2 linked regions of the Stegostoma tigrinum genome follow. The protein of the gene in region 2 purifies or fractionates together with the protein of the main gene of each other region. This does not show direct contact. Links are inferred from orthologs where the notes say so. Each region holds a gene or a part of one and is shown on either strand. Other genes may lie near its edges.

Evidence for each region.
Region 1: the proteins of polb (region 2) and lig3 purify together in Homo sapiens (affinity purification with mass spectrometry; 3 studies listed by BioGRID and IntAct, counting the BioPlex papers as one, with this or other methods). This does not show direct contact. The link is inferred for Stegostoma tigrinum from reciprocal best matches to the Homo sapiens genes POLB and LIG3.

Annotation. Positions count from the first base shown.
Region 1 is NC_081380.1:10,338,527-10,349,217, forward strand, and holds the start of lig3 (DNA ligase 3), read right to left. Parts: upstream 4,557-10,691; 5' UTR 4,248-4,556; intron 3,576-4,247; 5' UTR 2,913-3,575; intron 1-2,912. UniProt on the Homo sapiens protein: Isoform 3 functions as a heterodimer with DNA-repair protein XRCC1 in the nucleus and can correct defective DNA strand-break repair and sister chromatid exchange following treatment with ionizing radiation and alkylating agents.
Region 2 is NC_081393.1:16,182,711-16,192,825, reverse strand, and holds the start of polb (DNA polymerase beta), read right to left. Parts: upstream 4,610-10,115; 5' UTR 4,438-4,609; coding exon 4,377-4,437; intron 5-4,376; coding exon 1-4.

The sequences.
Region 1 (10,691 bases), on a different chromosome or scaffold from region 2:
ATCACAACAGCTAATCTGCATGGTCATAACATGATTTATTTCATACTCTCAGTCACGGCTATGTTGGATTTGTGAACACTCCATTCGCCTTTGAGCCCATCCTCTTTCACTATTCCATTCATACAACATAGCCGGCACTATATCTCCCAAAATGTGTGCTCTTCCCATGCCAAATGAGAGTCAACTAGATCTCTGTTATTTATAGGTTCCCCTATGAGGTTGTATGAAAGCAGTGGTCAGCTTTTAAAGATGATAAAAACACTAATCATTTTCATCTTGAGGCCACATACAAATTCTGAAGCTGTTAAGTCACTCCTCAACTGCCATTAACAAGAGGACATGGAACAATTTTTTTCGCAACCAAATATCAGTAAAGCCAAGTGTTTTGCTATTGCTTGCATGCTTCTGGCCAATTAATGCTAAAGTTACATTTATCCAGAATATGAAAGGGAAAAGCAATGTCACAAGACTAACGCTGACCCTTAAGTAAACGTCAGGCTGTAAACACCATGATGTTAGAACCACAGGATTCAGGCTAAAGCTCAAATTTATTTAAAATCGTAGAATTACACGGTAGCAAAAAGAATACAGCATGTTATCAGCAACACAATTATTATCTTACACAAATAACTCTTTGTGAAAGAAGTGGTCAGCATTTTCATCTTTCTCAGAAACTTTTAACAGTCTAGAGACCAGCACAAAATGGGCTTCCCTTCCCACCGTGGAGTGTCATCGCTGCAGTGAAGTGAAAGCAAAGCAAAACAGAAGCAGGGAGATACTAGATTAGGAAAAGCTGCAGCAATTGAACACTTCACAACAAGATCACAACACTAGATTGAAGCAGTTCTTTCAAACTATCTGTGATACTTCTTTATAAGACAGGTAGATGGACCGTTTGTCAAATGTTTCCTATCTTTCAAGTGGACATAATACAATTGAAGCACAAGCAGAACACGAACAGAATCTTTTCAGTTGTCCTGCATGCTGTTTACTTGGTCTGGCCTGAAACTGTCAGTTTTGGAGTGACATCCCATGACAGTTGCAGCCTTTGCATACATGACATTTGGAGCAGATAACACTTTCTCATACAAACTTTACTTGAATATTATCAATTTTTAAACTAAAACAAGCTTCAAAACAGGTAACTGATCCATTTCACAAGACAGAAGAGCTCTTTTTAGCAAATGTGTGAACATGTTCCCTAGAGATCAGAAACTATTGGCCACACCTTATAGTGATTTAAGAAATAAAGAATTTTATACGTCTGTAGATGACACTAAATTAGAAAAAACATTTTAAGTAGTGCAAGAAGTTCCAAAAAACATTTTTTCTTTTGTATCCAGAGTGTCCTTACATACAACTGAACATTTTGTTTGTCCCCACCACCAAATCACCCACGGTATCTTTTCATCTATTAACCACCATCATAAATCGTCAATATTTTCCAATTGATTAACATGGCACAGTCCATTATTAAAGGGGCAAATGTAGGAAGGTGTATTAAACAATGGAACATGAAATTTGCTCCAGACAAGTACAAGGCCATCTATTTTGGACTCAAGAAAGAGGCCTTTCTCCCCCCTCCCCCCAAGAAAGAGCAAGAAATGTGGACCTATACAGAAACAAAAAGATTTGGAAATCCAATGTGTATGAATTATTTAATAGTAATGAATAGGTACAAAAAGCTTGCAAAAATACGAACAAATATTGGCCTTTATTTTCAATGGGACAGATCTTTATTTGTAATGGAGCAGAGGCTATAGGGTGGTGACTTGGGTACATACCTCAATGCTGACTTATCATAATGATTCTTTAATTTAACATATTATACTATACAGCAAGCTGCCAAAACCTAGCTTAGAGTTTTTAAAATGTTAAAAGGATTCAACAGGATAATACAAGGAAATATTTTCCTCTGAACAAGGAAACAATTTCTAAAATCAGAGTTGGCTTTATAGAGAAAAATCAGTTCGCGCTTCTCAACATAAAACACATATACAAATGAGTATTAAAAATTTGCAATTTGCCCCTCAGAAGACTATGGATGTTGGGACAATTAGAGCTATTAAGCTTGAGATCTATCTTATAACAACTCTTAAACCTCAGGATCATATTATCCCTTAAATGAATCATGTGCCCATTCACCACCACTTACAGCCAACTGGGAATGCTTAGCCTCAGTGCCATTCACCTCAATGGCTCATGCCACCTTCACCAACTCACTGGGGAATTAAAGCGATAGAAGTAAACCTAGGAAGGGAAGGATGGCAGCTAACTGGCCAAGCAAAAAACCAAGTGCACACTGCAATCAAACTGGACTCTGATGAAGGGTCTAGGCCCGAAACGTCAGCTTTTGTGCTCCTGAGATGCTGCTTGGCCTGCTGTGTTCATTCAGCCTCACATTTTATAATCAAACTGGACATCTGTTTCTCCATTCCCATCGCTCCCTCATATCATTAATATCCTGGTGCATAGTTATGAAAGCTCCAAAAGAAAAAAAAGGACCAGCTTCTGCTTAGTTTCGGCTCAATTCCAGCCCGGCTCTTGACAAACACTTCAAAAGGAGCAAGACACGATATGTAACATTTAGGGTGCAACAAGCATTAACTCAAAGCAGACTACACAATAAAAAAAAACCGCAGACGCTATAAACCAGGAACAATAACAAAAGTCGCTGGAAGAGCTCAGCAAGTCTGGCGCATCGGTGAAAAAAAAATCATAACTTCCTGTTCTAATGAAGGGTCACCAGTACTGAAACGTTAACTCTGATTTTTTTTTCTTCACAGATGCTGCCAGGCCTGCTGAGCTTTTCTAGCTGATTACACGAGATTGTTATATTGCTTTTTTCAAGCAATGTTGGAGTCACTGAGGTCATGCATTGGGGGGTTAAAAAAATTCATAAACATCGTAACCTTTATCCAACTATTCTCCCATCCGTGATATTGTTACAAGCGTTCCCTCAAAGTGCTTTCCTAACATTCACAGGCTGTTCGTGTTTGAATGCACACGACCTTTAATTTTCCTTTCCCCAGCAGCACTTAAAGGGGCCAATTTCTGACCGATTTGCACAGTATCTGCACTGTCACGCGTACACGGCAGACCGAGGAGATACTGCTCCTTTCACACAGACTGTGGAGGGCAAATTACTGAATATATTCAAAACACAGACTGATAAATTTGAAAATTTTAAAAGGCACTAGGAGGCATTGTGAGAAGAAAGCTGGAAAAATATGGAACAAAAACAGAAGTCGCTGGAAAAGCTCAGGAGGTCTGTCAGCATCTGTAAAGAACAGAAAAGAAAATCAGGGTTAACGTTTCGGGTCTGGTGACTTCTCCCCTCAGGAGAAAATGGCAAAGGTACAGGATCAGTCACGATCCTGCTGAATGGCAGGGCAGGAGCACAAGGCCAGGCGGCCTAGACGTAACTCCCAGTGTCTAGATATTTACTCAGCAACCTGTTCACACGTTATTTATTATACACGTCCAGAGCGGATGGGACATAACCCCGGCTTCGTGGTTCAGGGGCATGGGGCATTCAATTTTCAAGAGTTTTCAATTGTAGCGATGTGATCTTTCTGAAAAAAAAGACAAGGCTAGTTTTAAATTAGATGAGTCGCCACCGATGCTAGGAAACCTTTAACCTATTTTTGGTTTGTACCTCGCAGAGGAAAAGCTCAGTTTATTTCTCAGACTTTCCTGATTTGGGTTTGTGACCACGGACTTCTGGCCCCATGGTGCTATCATTCCCACACACTTTGTAGTATCCTGGAGAAACGCTGCCAACAAAGGGCTTTAAAACATACACGCCCACCAGTTTAAGAGTAACCAAAATACCGTGAATGCAGTTTCAGAACTTGATCAGATCCCATTATCTGTAGCAGTTAATATTTATTCGTGTTTGTAAATTGAAGCGGGAGGAGTGGGGTGTTTGGTGGTTAAATTTGGGAGGCGGGGGGAGGGAGAAAGAGATGCCCGTCCCGTTTAAACGCGGGGCCAGCGCCTGCGACTTTCGGCGGACAAGCCGAGAGCGGAACCCGCCTCCAAATCGAGGCCCGAGGCCTCAAGGCCTAGAGACACCAGCTCCCAGCCGGTGCGAGTGAAGCCCTCTGGTGGTAACCGTCTCCCCGCCCCGGGGGGAACGACGTTCAGCCGAGGGCTAGGGCCAGGCCTCTCCTGACTACTGGGTCGAGGCTCGGTGTTTTCTTCCCCCACCCCCGGCCGTAGCGCCAGGGCCCGCTCGGACTGACCTGGTATGAAGCTGCGGCCTGCTCTCCGCGCCGCCTGGAGACCTCCCCTTTAAGAGCCGGCCCTCGCCCTTTGTCCCTGCTTCAGCCGCTGTGACGTGGCGCCCGTTTAAAGGTGCCGGGCGGCCCGACTCCCTCAAGAGCTGTGGCCGACACAAAATCGAAACAAGATAACCATGAGACTCTCACTCCCGACAACTCCCTGAGCGTAGGCTGCAATCAGTCCCCTCCCCTCACCGACGGTCAGTAGCAGCAGTAAACCGAACTGCACTGCAGAATGTGTGCTGTACACCGAAATGCACTGCAGAATGTGTGCTGTGCACCGAAATGTACTGCAGAAATTCGCCAAAGATCCTTAGCAGCTTCCAAACTCAGCACCACTTCCATCTGGAAAGACAAGGACCGCAGACACTGCATAGGGGAACACCGGCTCCTGCAAGTTCCCTCCAAGTCACTCACCATCCTGACCTAGGATATATTGCTGTTCCTTTATGTCACTGGGTCAAAATCCTGCAATTCCTTCACTGAGAACATTATGGGGCTATGTATACCAAAAGGACTGCAGTGGTTCAGGAATGTAGCTCACCATTGGGAACAGCATGGTGGTTCAGTGGTTAGCACTGTTGCTTCACAGTAACGTGAACCCGGGTTTGATTTCACCCTTTGGTGACTGCCCGAATTGGCACATTCTCCCCATGCCCTTGTGGGTTTCCTCCCCCAGTCCAAAAATGTGTAGGTTAGGTGGATTGGCCATGCAATTGCCTGTAGTGTTCAGGGATGTGTAGTTTAGGTAGGTTATAAGGGAATGGATCTGGGTGGGATGCTCCAAGGATTGGTAAGCACTTGTTGGGCCAAAGGACCTGTTTCCACATTGTAGGGGATTCAATTCTATAATCACCTTCTCAAGGACAACTAGGTTTGGACAACAAACCAGCAATGCAATACCCCACTAATGAGTTTAAAAAAAAGCATAGTTTGAAATTAAAATGTTGCCATATCCTAATGTACACATCCCTGTTCTAATCCAATTTCTAAAAGATACTGCAGATGCCAGAGATCTGAAACGAAAACAGAAAGTGTTGGAGAAACTCAGCAGGTCCAACAGCCTTTTTAGCGAGGTAGTGAGAGAACTGAAATAGAGTCGTCTCTGATTTTGTCTCCATATGTGCTACAGAACTGTTGTGGTTCTCCAGCATTTTCTGTTTCTAATTGAAATATGTTTGCCAATTCAGAAGCAGGATTATGTCTGATGAAGGGTCTAGGCCCGAAACGTCAGCTTTTGTGCTCCTGAGATCTGCTTGGCCTGCTGTGTTCATCCAGCCTCACATTTTATTATCTTGGATTCTCCAGCATCTGCAGTTCCCATTATCTCTTATGAATTTGCTCTTTATGTTGAGGGCAGCCCAATGCCTTTTATGACATTTTACTTCCAAAATGTAGCTGCTGCTATGTAAATACATCAAATCTATTCCTCAAGTAGCAAATGAGACAAATGATAATTAGTTTTCATGGAATTGAGTTGAAAAAAGAATGTTTAGCAGGGCATGAAGAAAAATTCTAATTGAATCTGATATTTATATTGACCGCGGTAACATTCAAGAACAGGCTAATTCTCCTGTTTGTAGCATTGAAGAGATCAAGAGTGGCTTGCAAATCTGGTGCAGTGTGAACAAAGACAATTGCCGTCACCCGCAAACTCTTAATCATGTATATCTTGGCTGGCAGAACACTTTTGGCACAGAGTGCATTGATCACTCAAGTAAACCTTGCCTGTTTTTTTCACTGGGTGGCTTGAATACTGGGTGACTGATTGCTATTACTCATTTTGTTAAAGTTGCAGATTATTTCCTTGGTATCTGCTTTACCTCTTGGAAATTTGAGGCAACTGACTCTGAAACTAGACATGGGCAATAAATATGGCCTTACCATTTCTCACGTGTCTAGACTTAAATAGGAAGTGAGTACAGATCTACAAATATAATTCAGAAACACTAAACTATTACTTCTATTGTGATCCAGTTAGGAGGTGTAAACTGATTTCTTATTTCACACTTCTCATTTGTCCGAACGAAGTTTGAATTTCAAAACAAAGGTAATAATTATGATTAAGCGTATCTAACTCAGTATCAAGTCAGCCAGAAATAATTTATTGCCAAATAATTTTGCTCAAGCAATGCTATAATGATTTTTTTAACAAAAGTTTACATTATACAAATACGTACATCTGCCCTTGTTGAAAACTAACATACATATGAACAACCTTCAAGGCAGGGAAATAAAACGTAAATCCTCTGCTTTGTTACCTACAAAATTCCTTGGTCAAGGAACTGTTAAACTCAGGAAAAAGAATTATTCACAATTTGTCCAAATGACAGTCTGAAGCCAAAGTCACGTTGCACAATTAGTGTTGGGGTGTCCTCCTGGATCAATTTTAGCTCACTGAATTCACTTTTTGAGTTCAAATTCTCTTGTCAGAACTCTCCATTTGTGGTGGTGGAATTTTCCAGTGAGTTTTCAACTCTCATACTGAGATGAGAGGGATTTCAGAGAATAGCGAAGGCTGTTGCTCTAGTTAAATTCTCTCTCTGGCTCTGTGTTCAATCCTTTTTGTGTTGATATGTTTTATTAGTCTCAAAAAATACAATATGTGGCCTCTTTCTGAAGCTAATGCAAACTCAGTGACTCCAACCAAGAAGCTTGTAGTTTTTGGAAATTAAACATTTTCCCATTGCAGTCAGTCTCCTTTTCTTGCAAAGTGTTCTCTCCAAATAGTCAAAGATTTTGAAAAATGTCCAGACAATGATATTCTAAATTAATATTTCTGATAGCATATCTTCATAACAACTCCCATTGAAGGATGATGATGTGTCATAGAATATACTACAGGTTACTGTCATAATGCAAAATAAAATTCTATTGTCAGATCTCACCTCCACCCATTGGTAGGATTCCAATGTGCATCACTGTTCTCACATTGCGATTTCTCTGGCCTACCTGTGGCATTTGTAAAAAGAAGCTAAGTTTCTATGTACAGATTTACACAAAGATTACTTGATGATACAAACTAGCAATGGCATTGGTCCAATCTCAGGTCTACATCAAGTTACCCGATCTCTGTTTGGAGGAACCAATAGTAGACCACAATTAGTCTCAGCTAGGGGTAGAGTGAGATCAAATTGCTCAGGATTCCCACTCTTATTTGCTGTCTAACACCTTCTGGAATGTGCTGGTTGAGGATTGGGATATTCCTGTCCTGTGATCAAATAGTCTGCCGTCAGTCACAAAAAAATAATCAGCAGATATAATGGGAACTGCAGATGCTGGAGAATCCGAGATAACAAAGTGTGGAGCTGGATGAACACAGCAGGCCAAGCAGCATCTTAGGAGCACAAAAGCTGACATTTCGGGCCTAGACCCTTCATCAGAAAAGGGGGAGAGGGGGAAGATGGATTGAAGATGGATAGAGGCAAGATAGGTGGAGAGGAGACAGACAAGTTAAAGAAGCGGATATGGAGCCAGTAGAGGTGAGTGTAGGTGGGGAGGTAGGGAGGGGATAGCTCAGTCCAGGGAGGACAGACAGGTCAAGGGGGTGGGCCATAGTCAGCAGATGCTTTTGGAACAATCCTTTAAATAATAGTGCATACCCTTAAGTGACAAGGAAACAAGAAACTTAGTGGATAAAAGGAAGCCAGTAAATCAAATATCACTGTGTTCTTCACCAATTTAAAATTTTTAAAAAATCTTTTTTTTGTCAGTTGTATGAATAAGTAGGTAAGTGTTTAATTATGGCTTTATTCCAGTGAAGGTTATTGCATTTTTCAAATGCAAAAATGGAGACATAACTAAACAAAGGCAGAGAAGAGCAGAATATGATAACCTATGATCTCAACTTTGCTTTATTCACAGCCATTAGTTTGTTTTGGGAATGTTGATTGAGGGCTACATATTGGCTAAGACCTTCCTGTTCCTCTTTGAAACAGCATAGGGAATCTTTACATCCAGAAAGGGCAGATGGAGCTTCAGTTTAACATTCCATTCGTACATAAGGTAGCAAATCCCTGCCATGCCAGTTCAGATTCTGAACTCTAGTGTTTGGTGCAGGAGGGATGGGTAATAATTTGTCTAGCCCAGGAAGATGGATTTTAAAACGGGGCCAGGAAAAACCTGGGGCATCAGGTTCGCCACCTAATTCACTGCTGCCTCTTAGTGATTTGAAGACGGGACAGTTTGGCAATGGCTACCTATCCACCACAGGTAGATAGCCAACCAAATAAATGAAGTTGGAAGAGATTGTTGACACCACAATCACCAACAATCTTCCCTGCTGAGTCTGGATGTTGGCGGCCTCTTGGAGGCATCTTAGAACATAGAACATAGAACAGTACAGCACAGAACAGGCCCTTCAGCCCACAATGTTGTGCCGACCATTGATCCTCATGTATGCACCCTCAAATTTCTGTGACCATATACATGTCCAGCAGTCTCTTAAATGACCCCAATGACCTTGCTTCCACAACTGCTGCTGGCAACGCATTCCATGCTCTCACAACTCTCTGCGTAAAGAACCTGCCTCTGACATCCCCTCGATACTTTCCACCAACCAGCTTAAAACTATGACCCCTCGTGCTAGCCATTTCTGCCCTGGGAAATAGTCTCTGGCTATCAACTCTATCTATGCCTCTCATTATCTTGTATACCTCAATTAGGTCCCCTCTCCTCCTCCTTTTCTCCAATGAAAAGAGACCGAGCTCAGTCAACCTCTCTTCATAAGATAAGCCCTCCAGTCCAGGCAGCATCCTGGTAAACCTCCTCTGAACCCTCTCCAAAGCATCCACATCTTTCCTATAATAGGGCGCCCAGAACTGGATGCAGTATTCCAAGTGCGGTCTAACCAAAGTTTTATAGAGCTGCAACAAGATCTCACGACTCTTAAACTCAATCCCCCTGTTAATGAAAGCCAAAACACCATATGCTTTCTTAACAAGTTTCTTACCAGAGGCAGGCCCGGCCCTCTGTCACCGCTACCATGACTCTACCAGAAAAATGCGAAGGCCACAGCCTGATTAAATTCTTTCCTGATGACCCTAAGAGCTGTGCGCATGTTGTTTTCTCAAGTATTAAATCGAGCGCCTGCAGGTATCTCCATTGTGAAGCTCCTATGCGATTTCCTTCCTGTCAGTTGTGTGAACTTCTAGCTATGGATCATCTATGCAGTGCTTCAGGCTCTCCTTTTGGGCATTCTTGTCTCGGGAGACTGTTCATCATCTTGAATTAGATGGCTACACAGAGGTGGCCTATTAATTAAATTATGCCAATGACAGAATATTTTTCATTATTTCATTAAAAGTCATGAGCACTACCAGCTTTACCAGTTCTATTTCCCCATGAGTCAATAATCTGCACTGTGAGTTCTGAGGAGTACTACAGGTTAAAACAGTACAAAGTGCTATTGTGGTTCAATTGTATTTGCAGTCATTCATTTTATTAATTCACTTTTTGTTACTGCATTTATAATGCATTGGAGCAGTAGTTTAAGAATCTTTGGTGCCCTTTTAAATCATTGCAATTTTTAATACAAGTTCAATGTGCTTTATACAGCACATTAGATTCCCTACAGTGTGGAAACAGGCCCTTCGGCCCAACAAGTCCACACTGCCCCTTGAAGCATCCCACCCAGACCCATCGCCCTATAACCCACACACCCCTGAACACTATGGGCAATTTAGCATGGCTGATCCACCTAACCTGCACATCTTTGGACTGTGGGAGGAAAATGGAGCACCCGGAGGAAACCCATGCAGACACAGGGAGAATGTGCAAACTCTGCTCAGACAGTTACCTGAGGCTGGAATTGAACCCGGGTCCCTGGTGCTGTGAGGCTGCAGTGCTAACCATCGTGCCGCCCCATTGGAAGGACATTGTTTAGCAATAATGTAAGCCTGCATGCAAATTAATATATTTGCCTATGACACTAATCTGGGGAAGTGGAACATATTTAATAATAATTTTCAAATCAACCTGTTCACAGTTGTTATTGCATACCTCCGGAGCAAAATGGACTTGAATCCATATCTCCTGACCCAGAGGTAGGGACATTAACACTGCACGACAAGAGCCCTCTGCAAATTGAATATATACTTACAGGGCAGAAATGTTTAGGGTAATGGGAAGAAAGCAAGAAATTGTGACAAATTGGAGAGGTCCTTCAAGGAATCAGCACAGGTTAAATGGGCTAAATGTGCTACTTATGTGCAATAAGATTTTATGTTTTGTTTATAGGATTTTGTATGTATCATACAATAAATACCTTGCAACCAAGCCATATCTGTCACATTTCAGATGTCATCAAACAGACGTTACATCCAGACATAATTAGAAACATAGAAAATAGTCTTAGTGATACAAACAATACTTTGTTACAAGTTGAAATTATCTTTAAAAACATAG
Region 2 (10,115 bases):
TGAGCTTTTAGAAAACAAATTACATGCAGGAATCAGAAGGATGCATTTGTAAAATGTGACACGATTGCAGCGATTTTGTCATGAGAATTTCGTAAAAGTGGCTACTTCCAACAGAACAGGACTGGACTTTGATGAAACTACAATGACTGCTGACACTGTGACACAACATCAATATCACATGATTGTGAGGTTACGCCTTGGAATTGGGATTCCATGAAGACTGACATGTTGAGTGAGAGGGGTCTGCCAGTGAGACAGTTGAAGATGGAAAGTCATTTGATAACATGTCTCAGGATATTTCCACACAGAGTTGGCAAATCTATACCATTGATCGTTTGAAAAACAGAGTCGAGCTGTCAGCGCCGAAACAGTTCTGACAATTTCTTTGAAGGTGTCAAGGGGATTATGGTGGTGGTTTCTCCCATGCCAGGCAAGGGGGGAAAAGGTGTAAATTATTTTAGAAAAACAATCACCCATGGGAATTTCATGAAAAAATCAAAGCTGTTTGCCAAAACTGGGATGTCCACTGTTGCCTCGGCTTGCACTTGGATTGAGGTGGGTGCAGAATTGGCTTTAGGGTTTTTACAATGTTTAGGTCAAGGGTTCAGATTGGAGTTCAAATGGAGGAGCAAAAGCAACCCTTCAGTTCATTGCGTGTGCTCCACCATTCAATTCTTGTCTCCACTTTCCCACCTTTTCTCCATAATCAATGTCCACACTGATTAAAAATCTCTCTCTCAGCAATGAATGCACATAATAATTCGGCTTCTACAACCCACTACAGGAAAGAATGATATAGGTTCGCTATCTGTAAGAGGAAATTCTTCTCCATCTGGGTCATAACTGGGGGACTCCTTACTCTGAGATTACGCCCTCTGGTGAGAGACTCACCCACACAAGCAAACAACTTCATTTAATCTACCCTATCATTTGTCCTAAGAATCTTGTAGGTTTCAATAAGTTAGCCTCCCATTCCTCTAAATTTCAGTAAGTACAGACCCAACTGATACAACTTCTCAAATAAGAAAACCCCTCCATACCCAGAATCAACTGAGTGAACCTTCTCTGGACAGCCACCGATGACAGTACATCTTTCCTTAAATAAACAAACTGTTTACACCATCCCAAGTGTGGTCTACCTAGTGCCTTGTGCAGTTTTATCAAGAAGTCCTTGTTTTGTACTCCATTCCTGCTGAAATCAATGCCAACATTCCATTTGCTTCCCTATTACCCACTGAACTTCACAGAATCAATATGGAAACAGGCCATTTGGTCTGTCAAGTCCGCACCAATGCTCCAAAGAGCATTACTCCCCTCCCACCAACCCATTCCTGCAGCCCTGCATTTCCCATGGTTATTCTACCTAGCCTGCACATCCCTGAACACTATTGGCAATTTACTTTGGTCAGTCTACATAGCCTGCACATCTTTGGGCTGTGGGAGAAAACAAAAGCACCCAGAGGACAATCAACGCAGACATGGGGAGAATGTGCATATTCCACACAGTCCTCCCCAGGGTGGAAGTGAACCAGAGTCCCTCAAACTGTGAGGCAGCAGCACTAGCCGCCCAGCCACTGGGCCATCTAAATGCTAGCATTTTGGATCTATGCGTGAGGACACCCAAATCCTTCTGTGCTGCATCTTTCTCCACTTATTCAAATAATATTCAGCATTTCTACAAAAAATAAAAACCAAAGAACGAGGTTCCGCATGGCAGACTAACTGGTTAAGTTAGATGACATGGGATTCAGGGTGAGCTTGCCAACTGAATACAAAATTGGCTTAATGGCAGGAGACAGACATAGGTGGTGGAGGGCTGTTTTTTTTCAGATTGGAGACCTGTGACCTGTGGTGTTCCACAGGGTTCAGTGCTGGGTCCACTTTTGTTTGTCATTGATATGCGAATACAGAGAGCATTGTTAATAAGTTTGAGGATGACACCAAAGCTGGTGATATATCAGATAGTGAAGGTGGTTATCTAGGATTACAAAGGGATCTCGATCAATTGGATCAATGAGCTGAAGTGTAACAAATAGAGTTTAATTTGGATAAATGCAAGTTGTTGCATTTTGGTAGGTAAAACAAACAAAGGCAAGACTTATACTATTAAAAATAGATCTTGGGTAGTGTGGGAGAAAAGAGAGAACCAGGAATCAGGTACATAATTCTTTGAAACTGGCATCATGTAAAATTAGGGTGGTTAAGGTGTTCAGCATGCTTGCCTTCATTGCTCAGACCTTTATATTTTGGAGTTGGGACGTTATGTGGCATTGGTAAGGCATCTTCTGGAGTACCATGTCCAGTTCTGGTCTCCTGATACAGGAATGATATTATTAAACTGGAGAGGGTTCAGAAGAGAGTTACCAGGATGTTGCAAGGAACAGAAGGTTTAAGTTATAAAGGAGATGCTGGATAGGTTGGAACTTTTTCGACTGGAGCGTAGGAGGTTAAGGGGTAACCTTATAGAGGTTTATAAAATCATGAGGAGTATAGATAAGGTAAATGACAGGTGTCTTTTCCCTTGGGTGGAGGATTTCAAGACTGGGGACATATTTTTAAACGGAGTGGAGAAAGATTCAAAGAAGACTTGAGAGGCATTTTGTTTTTTTAACAGAGAGTGGTTCATGTGAGGAATGAATTTCCAGAGGAAGTGGGGGATACGGGTACAGTTACAACATTTAAAATACATTTTAAAGTACATGAAGAAGAAATGTTTGGAGGGATATGTGCAAAGTGCAGGCAGGGGGGACCAGTTTAATTTGGGATTGTGGTCGGCATGGGCTGTATGGACCAAAGAGTCTGTTTCTGTGCTGTATGACTCTATAACGCAGATGCTAAAAATCAGAAACAAAAACAGTATTTGCTGGAAAAGCTCAGCAGGTCTGACACCATCTGTGGTATAATAACATTATTTCATGAAAAATAAAATCCACAAGAACTGCAGGTGCTTTAAATCAGGAACAAGAGCAAAAATTGCTAGAAAAGCTCAGCAGATTGCTCTTTTGGTCCTCTTGCCAAACTAGGGAGAATGGAAGATCTGAATATTATTTAAATGGGGAAAACCAGAGAAAGTTGCACAATAGATGAATTTGGAATTCTTTTTCATGAATCACAAAATGCTGATGTCCAAGTTCAGTGGGTAAAAGGGAACACAATGGATTATTGGCTTTTATTTCAAGGGGAATGGAGTATTAAAAACAGAAAGGTCTCGTTAAAACTATTCAAGGCTTTAGTCAGCCCACATCTAAAATATTTTGAACAGTTTTCATCCCCTTATCTAAGGAAAGATGTACTGGTGTTGGAAGCAGTCAAGTGAAGGTTCCCTGGGTTGACTCTGGGTATGAAGGGATTTTCTTATAAGGAATGCCCTGCCTGCAATAGTAGTAGACTCACCAACTATAAGGGCATTTAAATGGTCAGTGGATAAACATATGGAAGATAATGGAATAGTGTAGGTTAGATGGGCTTCAGATTGGTTTCACAGGTCAGCACAACATTGAGGGCCGAAGGGCCTGTACTGTGCTGTAATGTTCTATGTTCTATTAGGACTGTACATAACTAAACGTTTCCTCACTTACACTCCATCTGCCGAGATCTTGCCCACTCATGTAATCTCTCCACGTCCCACTTGAGACTGTATTATCCTCACCACTCGCTTTCCCATTTATTTTTGCATCATCTGAAAACTTGGTTACTGTACACTCATTTTCTGCATCCAAGTTGGTATCATATATTGTAAACAATTGTGGCCCTTGCAATACTCCAGGAGTTGCTATCCTGAAATTACCCCCCTCATCCTAACTCTATTTCAGTTAGTCAGCCAATCCTCTATTCACACTCAAAACAAAGGGTCTAGACTCTTCCCAAGAAGGGTCCAGACCTGAAACGTCAGCTTTCCTGCTCCTCTGATGCTGCTTGGCCTCATGTGTTCATTCCAGCTCTACACCTTGTTATCTCAAAACAACAGACTCCTCGAAATGTAGTCTAATGAGGTACTTTATTAAACGCCTTTTGGAAATGGTGCGCATCTGGTTTATGAGTGGGTTCAGGCTGTAGCTCTAAAAATTCAACATAGTATTAGTATCAGGGTAGGTATCGATTTCGGGAATGGATTTCGGGTTAGAATTATGATTAGCTGCTTTAGCTGGGGTTTAGTTTTACGTTCTGCTTTGGGTTCAGGGTTAAAAATTTGAATATTGCAAAGATTTAAAAATGGAGAAACAGTAAGGCCCGCTTTCAACACCGGCTGGGGAAGGTCTGCACTGTCCTGACATTCCTTCTCGATTAATGACAACCCGATTTCCCTAGTTCTCCCTGAGGATCGGAACGACACATCGATCCCAGGCCACCGCTGCCTCTTCCTCCCTTCCTCTTACCGATTAGGAAATCGGTGATCCCCTCGTTGAGCGTCTCTTGCGGCGCTTTCCTCTTGCTCATGGTGGCGAAGGACGATAAAGTAACCAGGCAACCTAACGCTAGCCGTCACTTCGCGTGACCGTCGGCTCTGACAAGGCTCTCCCCCTCCAAAACCCGGGGATGTCCTGTCAGGAAAAGGCCAGGCTTCAGCCGCGCTGCTAGGCCGCGTGCGCGCGACCAACGGCCAGCTGGGATTTAAACCCGAACGGCCGCGCGCGTGACCCAACCGTCACCCAGATTACAGGTACCATCAAAACTTATTTGTGGCAATGTACAATCACGTGTTGTTTTAACATAGGCATCCCGGAACAATTATTGTTTGATTTACTTTATTTTGCGCTCCGTTTACACATTGAAATTATAGGATTCTTTTCACGAATGGCCGTGGAGACAATGAAAGTTCCTCACCCCACTGTTCAAACCATGTTGTTTTCCCCAGGACATTCGTCATCACCAACCCCGACCCTTTCAAACGACTTGCATATTGTGTGTGTGTCCGTCCAGAAGTGCTCTTACACACAACTGAACGATTTCCCCGCCCCATCACCAAATCACCCGTGTCAGACTCGTATTTACATAGCATCTTTTATTATCCCATAGCCAATGCCTCCATGTGAGAATGTAGTCGAATCAGAGTGAAAGGGGTTCCTGGCGTGGGCGTTCTTGTCATTTAACAGGCCACTTCAGGGGTTAATTCCGTTCCCCCCCGTCTTCTCTGCTGGCTCTCTGCCTCATTAACTCGCGAGACAGAAAGCTGGATGGCCGATTCAGCACGAGTAAACTCCTCCGAGTCGCTAATATCAATGTTTCTGGGCTTCCAACAGTGCCTCAGATTAATTTACTCACAAGATGTGGCCAGCACTGGCTGGACCAGCTCTTATTCCCCATCAGCAATTGCTCGAGGAGGTAGTGCTGAGTTTGCTGTGAAGAGCATCATTTGACCTCTCCAGTAACGGCAGTTGAGAAAACAGAACCTGAAGAGGTTTGGGGAGGGGAGGAAGTAATACTTAAGAGTTAATGTCCTGCTGATCCTGAAGCTCCATTTTGAAGTATACTAGATGATTCAGACCAGTATAGGTCAGTCAGAAGCTTTACTAATTTTGCTTCTGCTGATGGGAGAAACACTTTAAAGCCCTCTGTCCACAGTGTCCACACGAAAATTTTGATTTTTGAGATCGAGTTCTCATAACAATGTAATGCTGGCTAGATCATCTATTCTCACAATATCGGCTGAAGGATAAATTAGCCAAAACTGCAGGGAAAACTCCCCTGTACTGCAAAGCAATCTTTTATATCTACCCAACATATTTAACATTTCATACAACAACTGTGCAGCAACATGGAATACCAGTCTTAATTTTTGTACTGAAGTAGGTCCTGAATTATGATCCTAACTGATGGTAACATTGTGAAGTCTGATTTGAATCTATCCAATGAAACCTAAATTGATAAACCATAAATTTTATTTCTGTATGTTTTGGGCTCTCTGATGAAGTGTCTAGGCGCGAAATGTCAGCTTTTGTGCTCCTAAGATGCTGCTTGGCTTGCTGTGTTCATCCAGCTCCACACTTTGTTATCTTGGATTCTCCAGCATCTACAATTCCCATTATCAATGATAGTAGGAACTGCAGATGCTGGAGAATCTGAGATAACAAGGTGTAGAGCTGGATGAACACAGCAGGCCAAGCAGCATCAGAGGAGCAGGAAAGCTGACGTTTCAGTCCTAGACCCTCTGGCTTGCTGCAATGTTCCAGTGAAGCTCAGCACAAGCTGGAGGAACAACACCTCATTTTCCGCTTGGGGACACTACATCCCTCTGGACTCAATATTGAGTTTAATAACTTTACGGCCTAAACACCCCCATGTCCCAGCCCCCCCACCCCACTCACCAGGCCTTGTTACCACATAGCCCGTCACTATACACCCTCTGTTGTTAGTCACTAACAGTCCCCATTAACAACTGTTCACCCTCCGAGCCTGATTGTTAGCAATTCTTTTGTCTGTCCAACTGTCTTCCTCTCTCTTTGGGCTCTGTCTTATTGTTTACTCCCTACCCCACATACCTCCCTATTTTCTGCATATAAACTGACATTTTCGCAGCCACCATCGGTTCTGAGGAAGGGTCACCAGACCCAAAACATTAACTCTGTTTTCTCCTCCACAGATGCTGCCAGACCTGCTGAGCTTTTCCAGCAACTTTGTTTTTGTTGCCTCTGATGCTGCTTGGCCTGCTGTGTTCATCTAGCTCTATGCCTTGTTATTAAAGAATATCAATGTTTATTACACACAACAGGGGAAAAATACATACAAGAACTGTGAAACATTTTTTTAAACAATTCAGCCCTTTATCCTCAACAGTAAAACAATATCTTACAGACATTCAAAGTCCAGTGAAAATTCAGTGAAGATTTTCAAGTTTCTTGTTGCATTTAAGTGGTTGGACTTGGCTTCTTTGCAACAAACTTCTGAATTCATTCAATGCTACTTCTTCAACTATTACCTCTTCCCAAGAGTTTTAAACAAACTGCTAACGCTCTTCACTTATTTCCTAACATAGATTTTTTAAAACTCCTATTCCACAGACTTCTGTTTCTGGAGCTTTCTCTTCCTGACAATATAACCACTCGAGATCTTTCTCCGAACACCACTTTGCACACTGCTAGGTTAACAAGGACTTTACAGACATAGACCTGTCTTCTCTTGCAGAAACCTGTACACCTCCTGCCTGGCTCGCTCTTTCTAAAAGAGCTGGTTCCTGTCTATGTCTCTGTCTTTGTCTCCCTGTGTCATAGGGCAGCTTCTTGCTAGACAACAGCACTTTTTCCCCCACACCCTTGTTTTATTAAAGCACTGAACTCTTCATAGAGTCATACAGCATGGAAACAGACCCTTTGGTCCAACGTCATCCATGCCACCCAAATTACCCAAATTAGTCCTACTTTAAATGCATGTTCGTATGTTTCCATATATCCTGTTCACTGAACTCAAAAATGAAACTTAAGTCCTTCCTAACATACATAATGAAGAAACTGAAGGCCCTTCCCAATTTAGATTGCAAGTCTCCAAAGGAAATCATGAACTTTCATCACAATTGAACTAGTTTCCTCCTGTAACAGACTGTTTTCCACTGACTGAGCTGCATCGGAATCAAGTCCCTTTTTGCAAAAAAAATTATAAATATGTGGACCATTATGTTGATTACAGCAGCTGTTTGGCCTGTTCCCATGTATGTTACAAGAGAACTACAACTTGACAAAGTAGCGCAACTGTTGATCGGAGGAATTCCATTTCTAACAAGCAATCCTATTTTACATTCAATATAGTCTAACATTATTGACGCTGTTTTTTTGGAATGTGAATGGGAAATAACATTTTGAATATGAAAACCATGACTGTATAATTAGAGATATAAAACCAACCTGCTGAATTATTTTGCTTTTGACTTGAATAGTTAGAAACTTACATCCTCATTAACATGTTGCACGTAAATCTAAGCAGTGTTATATCCTTAAGTGTGCAGCGTTATGGACCAGACCAAAACTCAACATTCAGAACATAGTCTAAACTCTAACTTTTTTTTTATTTTAAGGTTAACGTTAAGTGTTGCATTTCAGATACAATTCGCTTGGTTAAACTACCAGATTTAAAGCAAAACACATTTTATGAGAGTCATAGAGCTTTACAGCATGGAAGCAGACCCTTCTGTCCAACTCGTCCATGCCAACCAGATATCCTAAATTAATCCAGTCTCATTTGACAGCATTTGGTTCATATCCTTTTATACCCTTCTTATTCATATACCATCCAGTTGCCTTTTAAATGTTGTAATTCTAACAAACTCCAAATGTCCAGAGATATGAGATACTAGATAGCAAAGGCAGCAGCTGTGCAGGTTACTGCTGTGTCAAACTGCAGTGTAAGTTTCTTTCTCCATTTGAATCACTGTTTTTGTCTCTCTTCCTCCTTTTTAAAGTGACATTGTTTTGATTTTATTTTCCTCCCAAAGTTCCAAAACAATCGAACAGCTTAAAGAATAGCAATTATTGCTCCTAGAATTTGAGGAAATCAGTACCAACACTGAAAATACATCAAGGGAGCAGCTCCTACAGCCGTAATGTTTTTCCCATCCTCCATCTTGAATTACCTAGAGTTCCAACTTTTTAAAACAAAACCTCAAGGCCATACATGCACTTTAGTCTAGTAGTTCTGCTAGACTGCTCGATATCCCGCCTTAAAACCTCTCTTCAAAAAAAACCTGCACAAAATAACCACTGTTAAAGCCTGCTATCATCACAATAACCAGGTACCAGTTATCATGATGATTAAGCGCAGTGAGGGACAGAAGAAATGTACAGCCACTGGCCCCAACACTCTTTTACATGATGACATGAAACTGGTCTTGTCCAGGCAATGAAAGATTCAAGAGAGAGCGAACCTAACAATTTCACCTTGAAATGCAATTGCATTACCGTGAATACCACGCAGGCACAATTACCAAATAACAGCTACAGACCAAAAACACAAATGGACCTATGACATAAAAGCAATGGCTACAAGAGCAGGTCAGATGCTGGGATTTTATGGCGAGTAACTCACCTCTTGACGTCCCAAAGCCTTCAAGAATCGACAAAGCTCAAGTCAGGAATGTGATAGAATACTCTCTCCTTGCCTGGATGGTGCTGCCAACTATAATGAAGAGCATTTACACCAATCAGTCCATTTGACTGGCAGCCCATCCACCATCATTCACTCCCTCCACCGTTGAAACACAGTGGCAACAGTGTGTACCACTGACAAGATGCAATGCAACAACTCAAGGTGGCTTCAGCAGCACCTTCCGAACTTGCAAACTACCACAAATATGGACAATGGTAGCAGATGATGGAAACACCACAACCTGCAAGTTCCCCTCCAAACCACTCACCATCTTGATTTAGAACCATATATGAAGCTATTCCTTCACTGTCACCAAGTCAAAATCTAGGATCCCTCTTGCAAACACAATTCTAGCTGTATTCACACCACATGGACTTTTGCAGTTCACCATCACTTTTGCAAGGGATTAGGGATTCACACAGAAGCTGATTTGACAGCTGATTTCACTTTCCACGAAATCATGTTTTTAAACACATCTTCAGGACAACCTAGAAGCATTACACAGCCATCGAGTACTTTCAAATTACATTTAAAAATTAAACAAAAAGAAAACATAAACTCAGGATCTCCATAGCTTTGTGACCTGAAAATGAATGAGTTTTAATTCAACAAAAATGAGGATATAAGGGTGAGAAAATCTCAGGACAGCATATTTTTGGGCAAGGAAAAACAATGTGGGAAAATAACACATCACCTTGATAAATATTATCGATGTGTTGTGCTGTTTGTGCTTGTGTAATCTTGTTATTATCATTATCATGTTGTACTATTCTACCTGCTGTCCTTGAAATTATGGTTGAGTGTCCAGACATTTGCTTTCATTTAGTGTTAGCTAGCTCTGAAAGAATGAAAACTCACTTTTATTTTAAAATGTTAATAAATTTAATGAAAAAGCATTGCTATTACAGAATTAATATTCAATTATATTGATTAAAATCTGACAATTAACTTATTTACATGCCTGAAGAAGTTAGCAACAGTCCCACGAATGAATGTACACCTTATTCCCAACAGGATCAGCTCAGTGCCTGGCAACGAGTAGC